4 linked regions of the Macaca fascicularis genome follow. The protein of the gene in region 4 purifies or fractionates together with the protein of the main gene of each other region. This does not show direct contact. Links are inferred from orthologs where the notes say so. Each region holds a gene or a part of one and is shown on either strand. Other genes may lie near its edges.

The links. Proteins that work in one complex are often made in the same cells at the same time.
Region 1: the proteins of SAP18 (region 4) and SRSF1 purify together in Homo sapiens (co-immunoprecipitation; 4 studies listed by BioGRID and IntAct, with this or other methods). This does not show direct contact. The link is inferred for Macaca fascicularis from reciprocal best matches to the Homo sapiens genes SAP18 and SRSF1.
Region 2: the proteins of SAP18 (region 4) and EIF4A3 fractionate together in Homo sapiens (co-fractionation; 3 studies listed by BioGRID and IntAct, with this or other methods). This does not show direct contact. The link is inferred for Macaca fascicularis from reciprocal best matches to the Homo sapiens genes SAP18 and EIF4A3.
Region 3: the proteins of SAP18 (region 4) and SMARCB1 fractionate together in Homo sapiens (co-fractionation; 3 studies listed by BioGRID, with this or other methods). This does not show direct contact. The link is inferred for Macaca fascicularis from reciprocal best matches to the Homo sapiens genes SAP18 and SMARCB1.

Annotation. Positions count from the first base shown.
Region 1 is NC_088390.1:48,705,498-48,711,636, forward strand, and holds the start of SRSF1 (serine/arginine-rich splicing factor 1), read left to right. Parts: upstream 1-2,048; 5' UTR 2,049-2,157; coding exon 2,158-2,351; intron 2,352-2,759; coding exon 2,760-2,944; intron 2,945-3,311; coding exon 3,312-3,484; intron 3,485-3,684; coding exon 3,685-3,871; intron 3,872-4,244; coding exon 4,245-4,267; coding exon of another isoform or gene 4,268-4,283; 3' UTR 4,284-6,139. UniProt on the Homo sapiens protein: Plays a role in preventing exon skipping, ensuring the accuracy of splicing and regulating alternative splicing.
Region 2 is NC_088390.1:86,552,389-86,558,388, forward strand, and holds the start of EIF4A3 (eukaryotic initiation factor 4A-III), read right to left. Parts: upstream 4,092-6,000; 5' UTR 4,010-4,091; coding exon 3,841-4,009; intron 1,027-3,840; coding exon 954-1,026; intron 1-953. UniProt on the Homo sapiens protein: ATP-dependent RNA helicase. Involved in pre-mRNA splicing as component of the spliceosome. Core component of the splicing-dependent multiprotein exon junction complex (EJC) deposited at splice junctions on mRNAs.
Region 3 is NC_088384.1:28,069,770-28,075,874, reverse strand, and holds the start of SMARCB1 (SWI/SNF-related matrix-associated actin-dependent regulator of chromatin subfamily B member 1), read right to left. Parts: upstream 4,092-6,105; 5' UTR 3,900-4,091; coding exon 3,807-3,899; intron 1-3,806.
Region 4 is NC_088391.1:792,677-798,552, reverse strand, and holds the start of SAP18 (histone deacetylase complex subunit SAP18), read left to right. Parts: upstream 1-1,892; 5' UTR 1,893-1,904; coding exon 1,905-2,033; intron 2,034-2,238; coding exon 2,239-2,348; intron 2,349-5,876. UniProt on the Homo sapiens protein: Component of the SIN3-repressing complex. Enhances the ability of SIN3-HDAC1-mediated transcriptional repression. When tethered to the promoter, it can direct the formation of a repressive complex to core histone proteins.

The sequences.
Region 1 (6,139 bases), on a different chromosome or scaffold from region 4:
TTCTTTACCGCGACTTCTGCGAAGACTAAAGTAAAATTTGCAGTCTATCTCAACAAATTCAACAGGCTTTCACTGCAGGCATTTTGTATAGTAATTTATGCTTATTTCATTTAATCCACCCCTTATTTTCCCATTCCTCTAGTTTTTTTGTGTGTGTGTGTGAGATGGAGTCTTGTTCTGTCGCCCAGGCTGGAGTGCAGTGGCATGATCTCCGATCACTACAGCCTCCACCTCCTAAGGGTTCAAGAGATTGTCCTGTCTCACCCTTCCGAGTAGCTGGGATTACAGGCATGGGCCACCATGCCCGGCTAATGTTTTGTATTTTTAGAAGAGACGGGTTTCGACATGTTGGTCTCAAACTCCTTACCTCAGGTGATCCGCCCGCCTCGGCCTCCCAAAGTGCTGGGATTACAGGAGTGAGCCACCACGCCCAGCCTCATCTACTTTTAATAATGTTTTATGGTATCTCTGTAAGTTGCCTCACATCCTTGCGGAGAGGGACTGCTGTAAATAACATGAAGAACATTATCCCTGAAATTCAGGGTGTAGATCTGTTATCGCAAATTTATGACTGCAGGATTTGATTTTGTTGTTGTTTCCCCCTCCTTTTTTTTTTTTTTTTTTTTTTTAGGAGGAGTCTTACTCTGTAGCCCAGGCTGCAGCGCAATGGCGCGATCTCGGCTCACTGCAACCTCCACCTCCAGGGTTCTAGCGATTCTCCTGCCTCAGCCTCCCGAGTAGGCTGGATTACAGGCGCCCGCCACCAAGCCCGGCTAATTTTTTTTTTTTCAGTAGAGACGGGATTTCACCATGTTGGCCAGGCTGGTCTCGAACTCCTGACCTCAAGTGATCTGCCGCCTCTACCTCCCAAAGTGCTGGCGTGAGCCACCGCGCCCAGCCTGATTTTAATTTGAATTCATTAGCGACGTTTAAAAATCCCAGGATTTCACATAAAAATCCAGATTGCAGACGTCGAAAAAAAATGTAAAATGTTATCTCCCAATGTCGCAGGCAAATAAGATCACAGTCCTGAATAGCAACCGCGGTCTCTAGTGGATACGGCTCTCATCCATTTCGGTCCATTTTATTACCTGGGAGGACCGGTATTTTCAATTTCAGTAACTTTTAGAGGAAACTTTTGAAAAAAGGACTGCACACACGCACCTTTTCTTCCTTCTCGTTCTTTAAAAGGAAACAACAGAAACAATTCATTCTGCAGGCAATCTGCGCTAGTCCCACGGATAGGCGATTAACAAGAGATAAAGAGGTGTGGGTACCAGAAGCAGTACTGTTACCCCTTCTGGTTGGCGGGTACCACGTTGAAAGGTCGGGGTACGGGCCCACTGCGACTAGCACAAAGAGTGCTGAACTGAGCTATGCAAAGTTCTGACGAGAAGGTGGAATGGTTCTTAATGAAAAGGATTAAGGAATCTAAACCGGTTTCGCTAAATTAGACACATCTGTCTAAGCAGCCACAGCTTGTTCGCAGCAGGGGCGGGAAGACAAACCAACGCCCCAGCTCTCTATTCAGTCACCGGCAACTCAGCTCTGGACCAGACGCACTCTACGAAGATACCCGGGTTTCCGGAGCAACGGCCCGAGCCCTCCCCCTTTAGCCCCGCCTCCGAGTCTCTTTCCCGCCAAAGGCCGTTATCGCCGCAGAGCATGGTGGGACAAGGCTTTAGGCTAGGTTTCACCAAGTCCTTTGAAGGCGCCGAGTTGCTTTCAAAGCTCCTCATTCCTGGGGAAATTGACTATCCTTCAAGACTCGACCTGGATGACTAGCTCCTTTAACGAGAGTTCTTTATTTAACTTTTACCAAACGGCTGCTCACTCTATTCGCAAACCACCCCAAGCGGGGAACGCGGGGGACTTTTTTTCCCCCTTCGTGCGGAGGGTGACGTCGCGCGTGCGTGCGCGTGCGTTGCGCGTATCCCTCGCAGCACCCGTTGCGCTCCCGCGCGTGCGTGTTGGGATCGAATCGCTGTTTCCTTCCGCTTCTCTTCCTCTGTCTCCCCCCCATATCCGTGCGCCGAGCTGATAAAGGCGCCATTTTGGAGGGGCCGCGGGAGACGTGGTGCCGCTGCGGGCTCGCTCTGCGGTGCGCTAGGCTTGGTGGGAAGGCCTGTTCTCGAGTCCGCGCTTTTCGTCACCGCCATGTCGGGAGGTGGTGTGATTCGTGGCCCCGCAGGGAACAACGATTGCCGCATCTACGTGGGTAACTTACCTCCAGACATCCGAACCAAGGACATTGAGGACGTGTTCTACAAATACGGCGCTATCCGCGACATCGACCTCAAGAATCGCCGCGGGGGACCGCCCTTCGCCTTCGTTGAGTTCGAGGACCCGCGGTGAGGCGGCATGGGGCTTGCAGCCTTGAGGAAATAGGTCCGAGTAGTCGGGGAAGGCTCCAAGGCCTTAACATAGAGAACGGGGAAGCGGGGGCTCTTAGAGAGGTTGGGGCGAGACTGTATCGCCCATGCAGGAGTCGAGTAAGGAGCTGAGTTGGTGTGGCTTCTCTGGCGCCTCGCCTTGGACGTCCCCGGAGCCCATTCGCAGGCTGGAGCGGGAAACTGAGGCGCTGAGGGCTGGTGTAGTGGTTGGGAGCCTGGCGTGTTTCTGGGTGGGGGAGGGGCCATTCCTATTATGCGGCGCATGTGGGCTCTTCCACGTTGGGTGCGCATGTGCGGGGGGTTCCCGACTGAGCGAGCTTCTCCTCCTGGTCTTTCTCATGCCTTTTACTTTCTGCGATCCCGCAGAGACGCGGAAGACGCGGTGTATGGTCGCGACGGCTATGATTACGATGGGTACCGTCTGCGGGTGGAGTTTCCTCGAAGCGGCCGTGGAACAGGCCGAGGCGGCGGCGGGGGTGGAGGTGGCGGAGCTCCCCGAGGTCGCTATGGCCCCCCATCCAGGCGGTCTGAAAACAGAGTGGTTGTCTCTGGTGAGTGTACTTTGTTGTGTGGATTGATGTGAAGGGACGGAAGCTACCTAAAATTTTTGTCTTGCATGATCGGTTTAACAATTGCAAATTTTTCATGCTAGGTGTTAAATTGCTTTAGTTTTTGGGTGAATTTAATAAACGAGGATTGCTGCTGTGGTGATTTACCAAATTAGGTTGCGGTACTAGATACGAAGATCCGTTACAAATAATTTTGGACTCTGGATCCCAGAATCTTACCAGCTCTTTACCTGGTATCACTTAAGTACACCTATTAAGTATTTTAAAGTACTCTTTGTTCTAATGTATCTTACCAGCTTAACGTGAAATTTAAGATAATTGATACTAAGAAAAAAAATCACTTTTTCAGGACTGCCTCCAAGTGGAAGTTGGCAGGATTTAAAGGATCACATGCGTGAAGCAGGTGATGTATGTTATGCTGATGTTTACCGAGATGGCACTGGTGTCGTGGAGTTTGTACGGAAAGAAGATATGACCTATGCAGTTCGAAAACTGGATAACACTAAGTTTAGATCTCATGAGGTAGGTTATACGCTTATTCTTTTCTTTGACCAGAATTGGATACAGTGGTCTTAACAGTGGAATTTGAAGGTAAGAATTCAGGCAAGGGTGTCCAAGTAAATTGCCAGATTTCTGGTTGTAGTTGCATTGTATGCATTCAGCATGCCTGAAGATAGATGAAAGCTTAGATCTTTCAATGGAAAGTTCTGTCTATCCAATAGGGAGAAACTGCCTACATCCGGGTTAAAGTTGATGGGCCCAGAAGTCCAAGTTATGGAAGATCTCGATCTCGAAGCCGTAGTCGTAGCAGAAGCCGTAGCAGAAGCAACAGCAGGAGTCGCAGTTACTCCCCAAGGAGAAGCAGAGGATCACCACGCTATTCTCCCCGTCATAGCAGATCTCGCTCTCGTACATAAGATGATTGGTGACACTTTTTGTAGAACCCATGTTGTATACAGTTTTCCTTTATTCAGTACAATCTTTTCATTTTTTAATTCAAACTGTTTTGTTCAGAATGGGCTAAAGTGTTGAATTGCATTCTTGTAATATCCCCTTGCTCCTAACATCTACATTCCCCTCGTGTCTTCGATAAATTGTATTTTAAGTGATGTCATAGACAGGATTGTTTAAATTTAGTTAACTCCATACTCTTCAGACTGTGATATTGTGTAAATGTCTATTCTGCCCTGGTTTGTGTGAACTGGGATGTTGGGGGTGTTTGTGGTTATCTTACCTGGGGAAGTTCTTATGTTTATCTTGCTTTTCATGTGTCTTTCTGTAGACATATCTGAAGAGATGGATTAAGAATGCTTTGGATTAAGGATTGTGGAGCACATTTCAATCATTTTAGGATTGTCAAAAGGAGGATTGAGGAGGATCAGATCAATAATGGAGGCAATGGTATGACTCCAAGTGCTATTGTCACAGATGAAATTGGCAGTATTGACCTTATACTAAAAGGCAGGGGTTAAAAATGATTATATACGTTTTCCTTAAAACACTTGCAAACATTTTATTCAGTTATCTTTAGCTACAATTGCTTTGCTCTTTAAACCTTGGCAATTGTGGCAAAATTATATTGCCCATTTTGTAGCAACTTATTTTGCTCCCTTCCCCCCATTTTTGTTTTAATAGGGACTAATGTGGGAAGAACTGGCTAATTTGTCACAGTGCTTAGTTACAACTGTTAATGTGTGACCTGCTGTTGGTGTACATGTGGGTACAGGGTGTCTTTAAATCCAACAAGATAGAGTATAATATCAATACTGCTAAATCTGCATGTCCTCTGTGTGACTGATAGAGCGTTGCTATTTCATTTTTTTAAGACAAAATGAAAGCAAAATATAGAGTTCCAATGTATTGGTGTAGATAATCTAGTTGGGAATACTTTTAAGTCTCACCTTCCCCTTTAAACTAATATTCATAATTGATTCATATGTTTAAAAGACTTTAATTTACAAATTAAATTGCAAATGGGAGCATTAGATATAGTTTTAGACTTAGGTGGGTAGCAATGCCAGTAAACTTAAATTACGTAACTTCTTGCAACCACGAAACCTGTAATACGCTGTACAGTAACAAGTGTTGGCATTATCAGTTGAACTGTAAATACAAAATGCTTCTTCCAATTAGTCTCTATGATGATTAAGTTTCTAAAATTTATCTGAACACCATTCAGAAACTTGTTTTGGGGAATTTGATAGTTATTGATGTGCATCTGTTAAACTGATGACAGACATAACTCATCATTCCCCAGAAACCTTTTTTGATTACAGTATCTAACATTTTGCCTCCTCTTTTTTGGTTTTGCTGGTTATAAAGGTTTGGATTGGAGAGGGCTCACTGGATCCCAATCCTTGGAGCTGGATCATTGGATTCAAATCATAATGTGGATAGGATAGGGAGGATGAATTACCAGGATTCATGGAGCGGGATCAGATTACCAGGAACATAGGAGTGGATTCCTGCCCCAACCAAACCGCATTCGTGTGGATTTTTTTATTCAACTTAATTGGCTATTCCAAAGATTTTTTTTTTTCCTATTTTTGACGATTGGAGCCCTTAAGATGCACGATGGAATTGTGTTTTGCGTTTTTTGGTAAAAGGAGCAAAGCGAGGACCTGGAGATAAACGCTGGAGCAATCTCCTTGGAAGGATTCAGCACGAGTAGATGGTAAACATTTAAAGGGGAAAGGGGGGGTTTGTTTAAAATAGTAAATCAGTAAGTCACTTCTAAATTTAAAGAAAACAAAATTGGAGTTGAAGAATAAGTAGGTTTCCAATTGGCTATTGCCGTTTTTCTTTGAAAAAATAAACATTTTTTAAAAAACTATGCATGGTTGTCCTTTTTCCTCTTCATGTAAGATTCTAACTGGGTCTATCAGTTAATCTTTAAATTGTTAAGTAAGATAAGATTTTGACTCTTGTATTAATGTGTTAGCAAATTAAAAGTTCTTAAAAGGCACTATAATGGTATTAGCCATCTTTTATTGTTAATTGTAAAAGTCTTCAGGGGAAGGCAAAAGGGGAGAATAAGGCATTTGTGTATGTAACTTGGTAAATGACGGTGGGGGGTTGGATCTAGCATCTGAAAGATAAGCTTCTCTACTTTGTTATAAATTGGTTAAAAAACTGTAGATGCTGCTTATTTTCTGGTGGTCATAGACAACATAGGCT
Region 2 (6,000 bases), on a different chromosome or scaffold from region 4:
ATGGCTGAACACAGACAGTGGAACACAAGGAGGTTCTGGGAGGCTGCACCCCCGCCCCCATATCTGTATCCTTTGTAGCACCCTTTATAATAAACCACTAAATGTGTTTCCCTGAGTTCTTTGAGCTGCTGTTCCAGCAAATTAATCCAACCTAAAGAGGGGATCATGGGAACCCCAACTCGAAGCTGCTTGGTCAGAAGTTCTAGACATCCAAACTTATAATTGATGCCTGAAAAGAGGGTAGTTGAGGGGACTGAGCCCTCAACCTGTGGGATATGGCCTGTCTCCAGGCAGATGGTATGAGCTGAACTGGAGGACACCCAGCTGGAAAACCCCCACACAAGTCGTCTTCTGTGCTGATGACTGTGGTGGTGGTGTGAGAGCAGAGGAAAAGCAGTCTGTTTTTCCGAAATTGTGTTATATACAACTCCACCTGCCAGCAAACCACCAAGCAAAGCTGGCTAAGAAAATGAAAGCCTTGGCCGGGCACAGTAACTCACGCCTGTAATCCCAGCACTTTAGGAGGCCAAGGAGGGTGGATCACCTGAGGTCGGGAGTTTGAGACTGGCCTGACCAACATGGTGAAACCCCATCTCTACTAAAAATACGAAAAGTAGCCAGGCATGGTGGCGGGCGCCTATAATCCCAGCTACTTGGGAGGGTGAGGCAGGAGAATCGCTTGAAACAGAGAGGCAAAGGTTGCAGTGAGCCGAGATGGTGCCACTGCGCTCCAGCCTGGGCGACAGAGCGAGACTCCATCTCAAAAAGAAAATGAAAGCTTTCTATAGTAGAGAACAGAAATTTAAAAATTATTAAACCCTGTGGCTAAAGTCAGGGCACGTGTTGGTACTGAGTGTGTAGAAGCTGAGGGAAACAGTCATCCCAGAGCATCTAACTGCACTGCGCTGCCCAAATTTGCATCCAGCCCCGCGCCGCACCCCAGGACAACTTACTGCGCGATGACATCTCTCCCTTTGATGATCTGCTTGATTGCTCGTTGCTGGATTGCTGATGGTTTTTCAAAACCTGCAAATAAAAACAAAAAAATAGCTCTCGCTACAATGACAGCACAGAAACCCTGTACTGTGAGCTCCTCAGGGGCAGACGTGGTTTGCTGTTTGAACCTGTCCTCCCGCCTAACCCAGTGTTCAACATAGCAAGCTCTCAAAACCCAGGGGCTCAATGAATCGGACTAAGTGGATTTCTAAACTAACATGAGATATTATTTGTAAAGACAAATCTCTATTTTAAAAAAACCACCAAATTGTAGAATACAGAAAAATAATAATGATAATCTTCTGGGTGTGCAGCATCTGGAAGTATAAGTGCCAAAATGTTCCTGGCAGTTACTGCAGTAGAGGGGTGAAAAGCAGCTAACTTTTTACTCTAATTACTTCCTTAGGTTTGACTGGATTACAAACAACCTATACTACTTTTTTTTTTTTTTTTTTTTTTGAGACGGAGTCTCGCTCTGCCGCCCAGGCTGGAGTGCAGTGGCCGGATCTCAGCTCACTGCAAGCTCCGCCTCCCGGGTTCACGCCATTCTCCTGCCTCAGCCTCCCGAGTAGTTGGGACTACAGGCGCCCGCCACCGCGCCCGGCTAGTTTTTTGTATTTTTTTAGTAGAGACGGGGTTTCACCGTGTTAGCCAGGATGGTCTCGATCTCCTGACCTCGTGATCCGCCCGTCTCGGCCTCCCAAAGTGCTGGGATTACAGGCTTGAGCCACCGCGCCCGGCCTATACTACTTTTTAAATTAAAAACAAAAACAAAAAAAACCAGGAAAGTCACTGTAGCCATTCTTCTCTCCTCCTAGCTAGCATTAAGTCTGTGTGTTGCTGACAGGTCTACAATTCTATTTAACCTGCTTGGGTCACACTGTGGGGTGTCCTACGCTGTTCTCCTGTCTGGATGCAGCTCACTAACTACCATACCATCTCTCCTGCAAAGCAACTACTACACCAAAGGGGGAGGCTATTTTGAAGAAGAACCATGTGTTTTTCAAGTAAGTAAATAAAACTTTATGTACAAAACTCTAGTTCAGTTATTTTTTGGTAGTCTCTTAAATGTAGCTCTGTTCAGTTCTGGGGCATAGCGAAAAATGAGAAACAAAAGAAAATGTAGCACAATTTCCCATCTTAACACAAAAGCAAATATAGCAGATGATTTAAACTCTTCAGGAAGAGCAAGCACATGGATGGGAAACTAACAACAGTGTCTTAGGGCAGGGACCGCCTGAGTGCCAGGAAACCAGGTGGGGCTGTCAGCCTCGCTGGAAGGCTGGCTGAGATGCTTTCTCACCACCCATCCTCAGCACCTTCGCCTCACTTTGTCCAAACTGTTGTGGCATCAAGAATTACAGGATAAGATCAGGTGGGGTGGCTCACACCTGTAATCCCATCACTTTGGGAGGCTGAGGCTGGCAGACCACTGAGGTCAGGAGTTCAAGACCAGCCTGGGCAAGATGGCAAAATCCCATCCCTACTAAAAATACAAAAACTAGTAGGGCATGGTGGTCGGCTACTTGGGAGGCTGAGGCAAAGGAATCGCTTGAGCCCCAGAGGCAGAAGTTGCAGTGAGCCGAGATCATGCCACTACAGTCCAGCCTTGGTGACAGAGCAGGACTGTCAGAAAGAAAGAAAAGAGAACTACAGGATAAAAAATGTCCCTGTCCCAAGCATTAAACACAGGCCATTTACCCCAGATGCTGGCCATTCCCATCTATGTGCCCAACCCAATCTCTTCTCCAGGCTCTCTCTCAACTTCCACAGATCTTTCAAACATACCAAGAGACAACTCCTGATTCTGACTCTCTGGAGTGCTGCCTACCTAGCCACATGTTTGCAGCATCAACCACTGGTTACTCAAAACACCAACCCTCCTCCTCCTGTCACTCACAGTCAATCCATCAGCCAATGCTGTCAGTTCCCTGGCACTCCATCTCCAAGGCAGCACAATCCTCTCTTCCCTTAACTGGAGCAAAAGCTTCCCAACTCTTCTGTTTCCTCTCCTGCCCTGCCTCGCCTCACCTGAAATTCACAGACACCCAGAAGAATCTTTAAAGCTGTAAATGTGATCGTGTCACATAGCTACTTACTACATTCCAGTGGCTTCCCACTAGATTTCCAAATGAAATTCAAATTATTCGTCACCCCTACACGTCTTTGCTAAATCTGGCCCCTGACTAGCTCTCCAAAATCCCACCACAGGGGACTTCTTTCAGTTCCTGGAATGCAGCTGGCTAAGGGCTGCAAAGCCCTGGCACCAGCTGTTCCTTCTGCCCCAACTGCTCTTCCCTCCTCTCCTAAAAGTCTCCTTCATCCATACCTCTGCTCAAATGGCAACCCCTCCTGCGAACCCCCTTACCTCTCTGCTTTACTAATTATCTCCTCCTTCCCAGGCCCACTCTATTCAATTACCTAGCTTCGGGTTCTTCCCAGCAACAACCACTGCCTGGGCAATCTGACCGCATGCTGTCCCCCCAAAGGAAATTCAAAACCCGTAAAGGCGCAAACCCATCTGGTTTACCGCCAAAACCCCAGTAACTAGAAAAGTTAGTAGGTACAAAACAGTTATCTGCTGAATGAACGACTCCGAGGTGCCTCGAAGCGGCTGTAGCCCCCGACGGACCCAGCGCCGAGCTCTGCACAGGGGACACACAGCGAACGCGCCGACACAGCCAGGCGTGAGGGCAGGGGTGGGGGGGGGGGCGCACGTCACTGGCCCCCGAGCCTCGACCCTGACCACGACCTCCGGAGTGCAGGGCCGGCCCGGGAGTCACCAGTCGGGCTCTCAGCCCCCGGCTCGCCGCCAGCTGGCCCCCGCGGCCCGCGCCCACTCACCGTAAGCGTAGATGCCCCGCAGTAGGTCCTCCCGCAGGCCCATGGTGTCGAACGTGGGGGTCACATCCACCTCCTCGCTGGTCTCGAATTCCACTTTGGTCATGTCTTCCTCTTTGAGCAGACGCTTTCGCGCCGAGCCCGAGGTCGCCATCGTGGCCGTGGTCGCCATGATTTAGAGTCCGCGGAAGAGCACAGCGCGCGCCACAGCGTAAACCACCTCCCGACTCTTCTCGCTGCCGGGGCCGAGAACTGACGCCTTAGCGTGAGAAAGCGTAAGACGTGCGTACGTGCGTATGTGCGTGCGTACGTGCGCGCGAGGCGACCCCGCCTCTGGGGCGGGGCACTCTTCGTCACTTGAAAGGGAACTGGGCGTTTGCCGCAGGAAAAAGTAAGATGTTTCTGCTCTCGCGCCATATGCAGTTCTCGCGGGATCTCGTTGAGGGCGGGGCACCCAGTTCCTTATAAAAGGTACGGAAGCGGGTGGATTTCCAGAGTTGGTGGCGTTTTGTGGCGGTTGCGGCAGTTTGGGACGCTAAGGCTCTTTGAGCGGCGTGCGGCCCTGAATCCCCTGACAACAGGCTGGGGGCCGCCAGGGGCCTCCAGTCCGGGTGGCGTCGCCACACAGCCCCGCCTCGAATGAAGAGGACGAACACGGGTCCTCTCTCGGGCCCGCATTGGGTGGACTGCGTCGCGGACCCGTAGTGGGGGCGCCCAGCTCGCCGGGGAGATTCGGGTGGAAACCCTCACGGCCCCCGGTGGTGGGCGCCGGCGCGGCGCTGGGCTCGGGCGGGTCTGCGCTGGGGAGGGCCAGGGCCTCTAATGCCGGTGTCTTTGGGGACGCGCCTGTGTGTGTTTTCGCCGTTTGCCTGGTCAGTTGGAGACAGGGTCTCTCTTTGTCGCCCAGGCTGGAGTGCGGCGGTGGGATCAGGGCTCACTGTTGCCTCCGCCTCTAGAGTAGCTGGGACCTCAGGCGCGCGCCATGATGTCCGACTAATTTTTTTAAATTTTTTGTAGAGACGGTGTTGGGGGAAGGGTGGGGGTTAGGGTTGTCCAAGCTGGTCTTGAACTCCTGAACCTCAGGTGATCCGCCCGCCCTGGCCTCCCAAGGTGCTGGGATTACAGACATGAGCCACTGTGCCCGGCAAGCAGCTGTTATAAAGTAAAATACACGCAGAGCCTGCAATTTACTCTTAATGAAAGCCTCCTGTCTAGACGGTGTTAATAATGCGTGTCCTGCAGCAAAGATAACCCAGACGGGATCATGTAATTGCCCAGCAGAACGGTAACCAGTTGCGCATCTTAACCTGCTTTTAGTTCATTTGTTTTGAGACAGAGCCTGGCTCTGTCGCCCAGGTTGGAGTGCTATGGCACGATCTCCGTTCACTGCAGCCTCCACCTCCCAAGCCCAGGCGATCCTCCCGCCTCAGCCTCCAGAGTACCTGGGACCACAGGTGCCGCTGCTACGCACAGTCCTAACCACTTTCTTATCTGACACTTGAAGTGCTTCTACATACCCAGCTCCTCTAATGCACTTTGAAGCAGCTCCATCATCTTTGAAGGGCAGTTCACGCTGTTGAGAATCATGTTTTTAACTGTGGGAAAAGTAAAAATTTCCACGAGCACCAGCTGTGTCATTTTTTTTTTGGACGGAGTCTTGCTCTGTCACCCAGGCTAGAGTGCAGTGTCGTGACCTAGGCTCACTGCAAGCTCCGCCCCCCAGGTTCATGCCGTTCTCCTGCCTCAGCCTCGCGCCACTACACCCAGCTAATTTTTGTATTTTTAGTAGAGATGGAGTTTCCTCATGTTGGTCAGGCTGGTCTTGAACTCCTGACCTCATGATCTGCCCACCTCGGCCTCCTAAAGTGCTGGGATTACAGGCGTGAGTCCGGCCCTGTGCTTATGATCACAAATCTGGCTTACATGGCTGGGCACATCTTTAATCCACGGCTTCTTTCCAGGAGTGCTTGAAAGCTCTCCTTTTATGAAGGTTAATTTTAGTTAAAACCAGAGCATCCTGGCCAGGCCCAGTGGCTCACACCGGTAATCCCAGCACTTTGGGAGACAGAGGCAGGTGGATCACGAGTCTAGGAGTTCGAGACCAGCCTGGCCAAAATGGTGAAACCCCATCTCTACTAAAAAAAAATACAAAACTTGACTGCC
Region 3 (6,105 bases), on a different chromosome or scaffold from region 4:
AATTTATTTTTAATTTTTATTATTATTTTTGAGACAGTGTCTCACTCTGTCACCCAGGCTCAAGTGCAGTGGTGTGATCATAGCTCACTACAGCCTCGAACTTCCGGGCTCAAGCGATCCTCCTGCCTCAGCCTCCTGAGTAGCTGGGACTATAGTTGCGCGCCACTACAACCGGCGAATTTTTGTATTTTTTGTAGAGACGGGGTTTCACCATGTTGCCCAGGCTGGTCTCAAACTCCTGGGCTCAAGCGATCTGCCCACCTCGGTCTCCCAAAGTGCTGGGATTATAGGTGTGAGCCACATACCTGGCCTAATTAAAAAAAATTAAAATAAAAATTTGTAGAGACAAGAGTCTCACTATGTTGCCCAGGCTGGTCTTAAACTCCTGGGCTCAAGTGATTCTCCTGCCTTGGCCTCCCAAAGTGCTGGGATCATAGGTATGAGACCCAGGCATAGTATTAAATGTTTCTCTATTTTCAGCAGTGACTATAAACAACAACCAGGGCTACTGAACACTGTGAGAGAAGAGCAGCCACAGCAACTCACTCGTTTTCCACACAGAAGGCATAGACCCCTCTGTGTTATTTGGCTTGTGTGTCAGTATCATCCAGTATCATGGTAAATGTACAGTTTCCATTCGGTTTTTTAAAAGAAATTGACAATACTCCCCACTATGACTATCTTGCAGGCCCTGCAGGGCTCTGAGACTCCTAGATGCCCCCCAAAGCCCCTTCAGAACTTAGGAAACTGGGCTGGCCTTCCTGGCTTTTCTCTGAACCAGCCTTCACCGTCTTGGGACCCAGGTTTCCTGAATATAAAATGAAGGTGCTGGATTGGGGATCTGTTACGGTCCTCAAAGCTTCGTGACTCTGGTTTGGTAAATACAGCTATCTGTTAATGGCAGAACAGTGACACACACTCATAGTAAATGCAGATGCCCTCCCAAGACAGCATCACAGATGGCACATGGAGGCACTGAGGATGTTGCTCTGGCTGGCCCACCTCTCTGAATACAGTGCCTGTTTTCCACAGGGCAGTGTGCTGGGACCATCCATCCACCACTGTCACTGGAGCTACTGAATTTCAATAGACCTCTGACCTTGAACCCTTCCCTAAACTCTGAAGCTCTGCTGATTAAGTCAGGTCCAAAAAAACAAACTGCCTGTCCATCTGAGTCTCTTACAGGCTGGGTCTCAGGAAGATCATTCTTACTGGGAGGCCCAGGAGTGAACCGGCTGAAAGACAAGACTGTAATTAGCTTTCTAAAAACTACAATGTGTTTTGGGGAAGATCTTGGAGACCATCTAGTCTAAGCATTCACATTATACACGTGAGAAACGTGACACCAAGGCAGAGCAGGGCTGGAACCAGGCCTCCCAAGGTTCTTCCCACTTGGCCACGCCCAGCTTCTCAATTTGCTCCAACTAATAAATGAAAGCTTTCTTTTGAAGTGTCACCCACTCAGAGCCAAACTGATTACTTTTTTTTAAATTATTATACTTTAAGTTCTAGGGTACATGTGCACAACGTGCAGGTTTGTTACATATGTATACTTGTGCCATGTTGGTGTGCTGCACCCATCAACTCCTCATTTACATGAGGTATAACTCCCAATGCAATCCCTCCCCTCTCCCCTCCAAACTGATTACTTTTACACCCATTAGATCAGGTAAACAATTTGCCTAGTATTAAAATTCAACAGCCTTTTGCATTCTGCAGTTAGGCAGGTGCCTACCAGCCAATGAGGACCATTCTGAACTGTGGCAGATGGACAGGCACTGGCTCCACCTCCCCAGCACTGACATCTTTGAACAGTTGTAGTTTAAGTGACAACGTGAAAATTTTATTGCATCCTGCATTTTTTGTTTTACAAAAATTGATGGAGGTCAGGCACAGTGGCTCATGCCTATAATCCCAGCACTTTGGGAGGCTGAAGCAGCCAGATCACTTGAGCTCACAAGTTTAAGACCAGCCTGGACAATATGGTAAAACCCCATCTTTACTAAAAATACAAAAATTAGCCGGGTGTGGTGGTGTGAGCCTGTAGTCCCAGCTACTTGGGAGACTGAGGTGGGAGGAGGGCCTGCGCCTGGGAGGCAGAGGTTGCAGTGAGCCAAGACTGCACCACTACACTCCAGCCTGGGTGATAGAGTCAGACCTTGTCCGGAAAAAAAAAAAAAAAAAAAAAAAAGGGTGGAAAATGCTAACACTAAAGTTCTGATGCTATTGACCTTAGTCTCAATCCATGGGACTCAGTGTGACCATCTTGAGGCTTCATTCATTCATGCTATGCTCAATTGTGAAAGAAAAAAAACCCCACAAGTTTAAAAAGTATGAATGCACTGAGTGTGAGTGTGGTGGCTCACACCTGTAATTCCAGTACTTTCAGAGGCTGAGGTGCAAGGATCACTTGAGCCCAGGAATTCAAGACCAGCCTGGGTAACATGGCAAAACCCCGTCTCTACAAAAAATACAAAAATTAGTCGGGCATGGTGGTGCAAAACCTCTAGTCCCAGCTACTTGGGAGGCTGAGGCAAGAGGATCGCTTGAGCCCAGGAGGTCAAGGCTGCAGTGAGCTGCGATCACACGACTGCACCAAAGCCTGGATAACAAAGTGAGACCTTTTTTCAAAAATAAAAATAAAACAAAATAAAGCATGAATACAATGCTGGAATATGATACTAAAAACTGCTACAAGGAGAAGAAACTCATTGCATTTCATGACAGCTTTAATTCTCCAGGATTGGCACTTACTTCCTTACATGAGACTCCACTGCTTGACATTTGTACATCTGAACTGCATATCCATAATTTTTTTAAAAAGGTAACATATACTAGCTGGGGACTGCCTTTGGAGCAAAAAAGGCTAGTTTGAGACAATCTGGAAAAACCTAATATATGGCCGGGCGTGGTGGCTCATGCCTGTAATCCCAGCACTTTGGGAGACCCAGGCAGGCAGACTGCTTGAGCCCAGGAGTTGGACACCACCCTGGGCAACATAGCAAGACCCCGTCTCTATAAAAAACGAAAAACAAGAACCTAATATACTGGGAACAAACACCCATTAAAGGCCAGTTGTAGGGTTTTCCTAAAGTCAGTCATCCAGTTGATGCAACAAAATGCAGCCTCTCTAGTTAAGGGTTAAACATTTTTAGGCTCTTTCCGCTGTAACAATTCAGAATCAGTTCACAGATATGGAAAAAGTGTCAATTGCTTCAGAATTGCTGAAAGATCTGGCTTAGGCATGGGGCCCTTATTCACCCAAAAGCAAACACCCTCCAGTCTGTTTCTTCACTGGTAAAAAGGTCAAAACACCTCCACTGCCCACCTTAGAGGCAACAAACACAATGGGGATGAGCCCTCACTAAGTCCGGGGTTTCCAGTCTGCCATTTCAGGTTCCCACAAGTAGCAATAGGAGGAGGGGCGCATGTGAAATTTACAACATCTAAAAAGGGTCAAAGGCAGCAGTGCGGTCCCCCAAGCATCGCAGGAGCTAACTCAATATCTCGTTAATTTGCGTCTGGCTGGAAACCAACCCAGCGCGGAACCACTGGGGACCCTCTCGGCGCCAAAATCCTGGTAGCACTACAGATCGCGCACCTCGGCGAAATGGGTAAGGAAATCCCAGGTCGATGAGGGGGCGGGGGCCATGCCCGACACGCCCACTAGGCCACGCCCTGCAGCCCCGAGCGCGCGCGCGCCCGCCCGCCCCGATGAATGGAGACGCGCGCTCTCGGCGCATGGGCCTGCCCCAGGGCTCCCGCGGGGCCGAGCCCGGGGAGGGCGAGGACGCGCCGCGGGCTACCTCGGAGCCGATCATGTAGAACTCGCCGTCGTCCTCCAGCTGGAACTTCACGGGCTTCTGCCCGAAGGTCTTGCTCAGCGCCATCATCATCATTGCGGCGGCAGAGGCGGGCGGCTGGAGCCGGGCTGCGAGAGATCGGGAGGGCTGGGGCGGGGCCGGGGCGTGCCGGGCCGAGGGAAACCGAAGCCGGAAGGCAAAATGTGGACCGGGCCGGGTACTGGCGCCTCAGCCGGGCTCCTCAGCCGCAGCCGCCGCCGCAGACGACGACCAGGCCGCCCTCAGTGCGCAGGCGCTGGCGTTGACGCTGACGCGCGCGCCGCCGCTCAAACAAAAGGCCGGGCGCGCCTCCGCGGACCCCTTAAAGGAGCCACGACTAATTTCTCTTTCTCCCAGGCTGCTTCCCAAGTCGTGGTGTAGAGGACTTCTCACGGACAAAAATAGCCACTGAGGTCCTGAGTCAAGCAGTGGCTTTCCAAGTCTTACAGCCAGGACTGGAACTGGCCCAGGGGAAAAGAAATGAAGTGAGACCTGAAGGAGGAGGACCTAGTATCTGGAAGCCTGAGTGGTCTTGGCATGCTTTGGGACCCCAGGCTCCTGTCTTAGCTTCCCCACCCCTAAAACGCAGTGCAGCTGAGCAGATAGGCAGGCCCCTAGGAACAGATATCCCAGTTCCGGGCCTATGGCTGTCCCTGCAGTTGTGGAGGTGGGCAAAATGACAACAGCAGATGAGGCTTGGCAATGTTCAAAGGCCCAGGTGGTATTTGGTTTGGCTGGTGCGTCAGATGAGCGAGAGTTGGAAGGGAGGGACACCTTCCACCTTCTCCATTCCCCTCTTAGCTTCACACTCTGCTTAACCCAGCCCTATGGTGGGGAGCGAAACCAGGCAGCCCAGTCCTTCCGCTCTGCCTCTTGGCTCTTACAGCCTGAAGCTAGTGAAACTAATGAAAGTCTCAAAGCAATCATGTAACTGATTGAATAATGCAGGGAGTAAAACAGTGGCCCACTACTGATGATTTCATACGGTTCAGTCTAATGAAATTGCAGCTGTGGCTGGGCTCAGTGGCTCATGCCTATAATCCCAACTCTTTAGGAGGCCAAAGCAGGGAGGATCACTTGAAGCCAGGAGTTTGAGACCAGACTGGACAAGACAGCAAGACCCTGTCTCTACAAAAATTTTAAAATAAATAAGCTGGGTGTAGCATGGTGGTGTGCACCTGTAGCCCCAGCTACTTGGGAAGTGGAGTGGGAAAGATCCCTTAAGCCCAGGAGTTCAAGGTTATAGTGAGCTGATTGCACCACTGCACTGCAGCCTGGGCAACAAAGGGAGACCCTGTCTCTTTTACAAAAAAAAAAAAAAAAAAAAAATGCAACTATGATAAATGCTATTACAAAAACACACATGGGGCTGGAAGGTAGGGCAAGGAGACACTGGAGAGTTGGGAAGGGCAGTGACTGAAGTTGCTTTGTTCAGTATCCTCACAGTGGTGGGAAACCAAAGTACAGTAATCCCTCAGTATCCATGGGAATTGGTTCCAGGACCCCCTGCAGATAATAAAGTCCATAGATGCTCAAGTCCATTATATAAAATGGTGTCATACTTGCATATAACCTACACACATTTTCCTGTATACCTTAAATCACCTCTAGATTCCTTATACTACCTAATACAATGCAAATGATATATAAATAGTTGTTATACTATATTGTTAGGGAACAACGACAAGGAAAAAAGTCCATACATGTTCAGTACGGAGGTAACCATCCTTTATTTATTTATTTATTTATTTATTTATTTATTTTTTGAGATGGAGTTTTGCTCTTATCACTCAGGCTGGAGTGCAATGGCACTATCTCGGCTCACTGTAACTTCCATCTCCCATGTTTAAGTGATTCTCCTGCCTCAGCCTCCCAAGTAGCTGGGATTACAGGCTCCTGCCACCACACCCAGCTAATTTTTGTATTTTTAGTAGAATGGAGTTTCACCATGTTGGCCAGACTGGTCTTGAACTCCTGACCTCAGGTGATCCACCCACCTCAGCCTCCCAAGGAACTGGGATTACAGGCACGAGCCACTGCGCCCAGCCGTATCCTTTTTTTATTTTTTATTTTTTTGAGATGGAGTCTCACTCTGTCACCCAGGCTGGAGTGCAGTGGCGCAGTCTCGGCTCACTGCAAGCTCTGCCTTCCGGGTTCACGCCATTCTCCTATCTCAGCCTCCCAAGTAGCTGGGACTACAGGTGCACACCACCATGCCCACCTAATTTTTTATATTTTTAGTAGAGATGGAGTTTCATCATGT
Region 4 (5,876 bases):
AGTTTTGCTATTGTTGCCCAGACTGGAGTACAATGGCGTGATCTTGGCTCACTGCAGCCTCCGCCTCCGGGTTCAAGCAATTCTCCTGCCTCAGCCTCCCAAGTAGCTGGGATTACAGGCTTGCGACATGAATGGTTAGTATTTTTTAGTAGAGACAGGGCTTCACCATGTTGGTTAGGCTGGTCTCGAACTCCTGACTTCAAGTGATCCACCTGTCTTGGCCTCCCAAAGTGCTAGGATTACTGGGGTGAGCCAGTGTGCCCAGCCGTATTTTTTTTTTTTTTTTTTTTTTTTTTTTGAGATGGAGTCTTACTCTGTGGCCAGGTTGCTGGACTGCAGTGGCACAATCTCCACTCACTGTAACCTGTAACTTCCGCCTTCCCAGTTCAAGCAATTCTCCTGCCTCCGCCTTCCCAGTAGCTGGGATCACAGGCGCTCGTCACCACTCTTGGCTTATTTATTTATTTATTTATTTATTTATTTATTGAGACGGAGTCTCGCTCTGTAGCCCATCTGGGCCCACTGCAACCTCCGCCTCCCGCCTCCCAGGTTCACACCATTCTCCTGCCTCAGCCTCTGGAGTAGGTGGGACTACAGGCCCCCGCCACCATGCCTGGCTAATTTTTTTTTTTTTTTTGTATTTTTAGTAGAGACAGGGTTTCACCGTGTTAGCCAGTATGGTCTGGATCTCCTGACCTCGTGATCTGCCCGCCTCGGCTTCCCAAAGTGCTGGGATTACAGCCATGAGCCACCGCGCCCGGCCGTTTTTATTTTTATTTTTATTTGTATTTTTAGTGGAGCCGGAGCCTCATCGTGTTGGCCAGGCTTGTTTCAAACTCCTGACCTCAAGTCGGGAGTCAGGAGGTCAGGTGATCCGCCTGCCTCATCCTTCCAAAACGCTGGGATTACAGGCGTGAGCCACCACCACGCCTGGCCAGAGTTCCTAATTTTTGCCAATCTAGTGGGTGTGGCTTAAAAACCAGTCAATTGAAACTAATCATGGTTTTAATGCATTTCCCTGATTTGTAATGCGCTTGCTCACCTTACATGTTTGTTGCCTCTCTGGATTTTGTCATTTCCAAAGCACCTGTTCAGTAATTTTATCCATTTTTCGATTGGGTTGTCTGTTTACATCCTATATATTCTGGATAATTGCCTTTGTCAATCATATGTGTAACAAATTTCTCCCACTCTGTGGCTTTTTTCTCTCTTATGATGTATTTTTTTTTCCCACTTTTCAGTCGTAAGATGATATCACTTTTAAGTTCAGTCATATACTTGGCATTTTGGGTTCATCATGGAGTTTGTTCATCACGGAGTTTTGAAGGTCAGATTATTTTTGTCCTAACCCAGTCAAATCAATTGCTTCTCGTTAGTTTTTTCTATCATATATTCCCATCCATAGGTCCTGAAGATATTCTAGAACGTTATTTCCTACAAGTTCCGGGTTTCCTGCTCGCATTCCGGTCTCTAAGCCGCCGTGTATGTGGCTGGAAGGATCGCTCCATGACCACGTACGCTGGCGACGCCTCTTCCGGCTTACCTCAGGGGCGGGTATGGCGGACCTGTTCTTTTATCAGAAAGATCTATATTTTGCTAATAAAGGAACGTTTTGTGTCCAATAAGGTTTTCGTCATTACGAGTGAAAACGCCACCTTAAGCTTATTTCGCCTGTGAATATTTAAGGGAAAAAAAAAACACCCCGGCAACCAACTGCCAGGCGACGGAGGCTAAACCGCTCCTCCCCACTGAGGCCAGCACCCACCTTTTCCCGAAGTCGCAACACGCAGGCGCGCCCGGCTCGCACGCCACGAACGGAAGTGCGCCTGCGCCAGGATACGCCCCGCCCAGCCACTGCCCGACTATAAAGTGTCGAGCTTCTCCTCGCGAGAGACTTCGTGCTCATGCTCGCTGCAGGGGTCGGAGGTCAGGGCGAGCGTCTAGCGGGCCGTAGGAGGAAGATGGCGGTGGAGTCGCGCGTTACCCAGGAGGAAATTAAGAAGGAGCCAGAGAAGCCAATCGACCGCGAGAAGGTGAAGGTCCCCTCCGCTTTGGGGTCCGGGAAGAGATTGGGGGTGGGCCCGGCAGGGTGCAGAGGCGCGGCCTGTGTGCGGGAGGAGACGGTGTTTTTGGTATCCGGACGGCTCGGAGGCCGCAACGCCTCGGGAAGAGAGGTGAGGTCCGGGCTCGCAGCTGGTGTCTTTAACTTCTGCCGTTCCGTTTTTCTCTCGCCCTCAGACATGCCCACTGTTGCTGCGGGTCTTCACCACCAATAACGGCCGCCACCACCGAATGGACGAGTTCTCCCGGGGAAATGTACCGTCCAGCGAGTTGCAGATCTACACTTGGTGAGGAGGGCGGGGGCGGGCTCGGACCCGGGCCGGGAACCTGGAACAACAGTTAATTGCCTTTGCCAGTGTAGAGAGTTATTCTCCTTGATTTAAATTTCATTCCTCCACTTGGGGTCTTCAGGCTCAACTTTCGGGAAGTTAGAAGTTTTTGTTGTTAGGTGAAAGGAGATTTGCCTTTATTGTAACGCTTTTGTGATTAATGTTGCAACTTTTGGGCGGTTAAGAATGCACAGACCCAAGATTTAGCACTGTTATGGCTGCTAGGTACAAAAGTGATAGGTAGATGATTAAGTTGTAGTATCCGCCCTAAAGGGACTCATGGTCAAATAAATTGCACTAGGACAGCATGGTAAGGGAGAGTGATGCTGTCGAGTGGTGTTTGTTATTCTCAAAGAGCATTTCCACGTAATATTAAGCCTTAGGTACCAAAGCACCAAAAGTGAAAAATAAACTACCAAAACCCGAGTTATTATCTAAGGGTTGATGGAAGAGCTTTTGGTGTGTGTTTAGTGAAGATGGTTCCTGAGTGTTCATCTCTTGGGTGTATCTCCCTACAAACTACTGCCGGCTTGTCTTTAGCGCTGCACATAACTCCTTGGATTGACACCATAATGGGTTTTTAATATAAGTAAAAGGTGTGTAACTGAAAAATATATGTATATGCTATATATATATGTGTGTGTGTGTATATATATATATATTTTCAGACGGAGTCTTGCTCTCGCCCAGGCTGGAGTGCAGTGGCGCCATCTCCGCTCACTGCAGGCTCCGCCTCCCGTGTTCACGCCATTCTCCTGCCTCAGCCTCCCCAGTAGGTGGGATTACAGGTGCCCACCACCACGCCTGGCTAATTTTTGTATTTTTAGTAGAGATGAGGTTTCACCATATTGACCAGGCTGGTCTCGAACTCCTGAACTCAGGTTGTCTGCCTGCCTCGGCCTCCCAAAGTGCTGGGATTACAGGTGTGTGAGCTACCGCGCCTGGCTTAAAATAAATTTTTTATTGCGATAAAAAGTTATATAACAAGCCATGCACGGTGGCTCATGCCTGCAATCCCAGCACTTTGGGAAACTGAGGCTGGCGGATCACTTTAGGTCAGGAGTTTGAGACCAGTCTGGTCGGCATAATGAAACCCTGTGTCTACTAAAAATGCAAAAATTAGCCTTGTGTGGTGGCATAGAATTGTAATCGCAGCTACTTGGGAGACTGAGGCAGGAGGATCACTTGAACTTGGGAAGTGGAGGTTGCAGTGAGCTGAGGTCGCGCCACTGTACTCCAGCCTGGGCGACAGAGCGAGATTCCGTCTCAAAATACATATGTGTGTGCATATGTAACAAAATTTGCCATGTTAACCATTTCTTATTTCTTGAGTCTCACTCTGTCGCCCAGGCTGGAGTGCAGTGGCGCCCATCTCGGCTCACTGCAACCTCTGCCTCCCGGGTTCAAGGGATTCTCATGCCTCAGCCTCCCCAGTAGTTGGGATTACAGGCGCCCACCGCCACACCTGGCTAATTTTTGTATTTCTAGTAGAGACAGGGTTTCACCATGTTGGCCAGGCTGGTCTGGAACTCCTGACTTCAAGCGATCCGCCCGCCTCGGCCTCCCAAAGTGGTGTAGGATTACAGGCGTGAGCCAGCGTGCATGGTCATTAACTGTTTTTAAGTGTATAATTTGTTGGCATTAATAGCATTCAAATTGTTGTGCAACCACTATTTCTACAAGTTTTTATCCCTCCCTCCAACAGAAAGCCTGTACGCCATCCTGCCTTGTTTTAATTTTTAAAGAGATGGAGTCTTGCACTGTTTTCCAAGCTGGATTTGAGCTCCTTGGCTCAACCAGCTGGGACTACAGGCACACACCACCATGCCCAGTGTGCTGGTAACCTTTTAAGGACACACCGTGCCTATTAAAAAATAATTTCCCATTCCTCCCCCGCCCCATCCCCTGGTAGCTTCTAATGTATTATCTGTCTATATATGAATTTGTCTATTCTGGATATTTCATTTCAGTGAACTCGTTACAGTGTTTGTCATTTTGTGACTGGCTTATTTCATGGTGTTTTCGGGGTTGATGTTGTAGCATCCATTCAGCCTTGTCAAGACTGAATAATATTTCATTGTATGTGTGCATCACATGTACTCATCTATTGATGGACACTTGGATTGTTTCATCTTTTTTGCCATTGTGAATAATGCTGCTGTGAACATTGGCATACAAATGTGTTTGTGTCCCTGCTTTCAGTTATTTTGGGTATGTACCTAGGAGTGGATTACTGGGTCATATGTTAATTTTGTTTAAGTTTTGAGGAACCATCAAACTTTTTCACAGCAGTTGCACTATTTTATATTCCCCAGAATGTGTATAATTTAAAACTGTTTAAGCCCTGTACACTAGAGCTAATCCCTTGAATATCGGGACCTTACTTATCTTATTTGGAAGTGCTTGTTAAATTTATGTAGTAGTATGATACTTGTATTTAAGCATCACTCAAGGGTAAGTGTTCCAGGAAGTTTGATTTAGCTTATATGGAAGAACTGTTGAATAATGACTTCATGAAAATCTCTTTTCAGAAATTGAAGTGTGTTTCTTCCAACAAATAAGAGTTCCTATTTGCCGGGTGCTGTGTGTGCTTAGATTCTGAGGGTATAAAGTCAAGAAGGTACTGCTCCTCCCTGTAGTCCTTTTATCAGGGAAAGCGGATGAATAGAGTGATTTTTAGGGTTAAGATGGCAGGGTGAGGTTGTTCCACAGACCACCTCCTCTGAATCAAGAAAAAAAAATTACAAAAAAAATCCTGTCCTGAACTACCTGTCCATAAATTGCAACCAAACAAAGAAGGAACCACCTTAAGTTATATCTCAAAATGGTGGCCAGAGATTCTGAGACTGGATGATTGGTAATGGGGGTAATGCAAAGGCCTGCCCTCACTCCCAGAAATAGTAATGAGGGAAAATTAGTTAACATATGTTGGAAATTCTCAATAGAAGTAGACTGTGAGGTTAAAGTAGGCAGCCCCAAGACAAGCTATGGAAAAAGGAGTGGGATTCCAGAGGAGCCCAGTGGAGGCAGGCTGTGCCCCCCAAAGTCAGTCATGGCTCAGCCAGAAAAACAGAATTGGGAGAGATGTGTTAAGAGATTTATTTCTGCTGGGCATGGTGGCTCACACCTGTAATCCCAGCAGTTTGGAAGGCAGAGGTGGGCAGATCATGAGGTCAGGAGTTGGAGACCAGCCTGGCCAACATGGCAAAACCCTGTCTCTACTAAAAATACAAAAATTAGCCAAGTGTGGTGGCAGGCGCCTGTAATTCCAACTATGTGGGAGGCTGAGGCAGGAGAATTGCTTGAATTGCAGTGAGCCGAGATCGGCGCCACTGCCTCTAGTCCGGGCGACAGAGCGAGACTCCATCCCCCCCTCCCCAAAAAAAAGAGTTTTATTGCAAAGAATTGGCCTATGTGATTGTGGGGGCTGTCTAGGCACTTAATTGTCAAATCTGTAGGGTAGGTTCTCAGGAAGGAAAGGCTGCT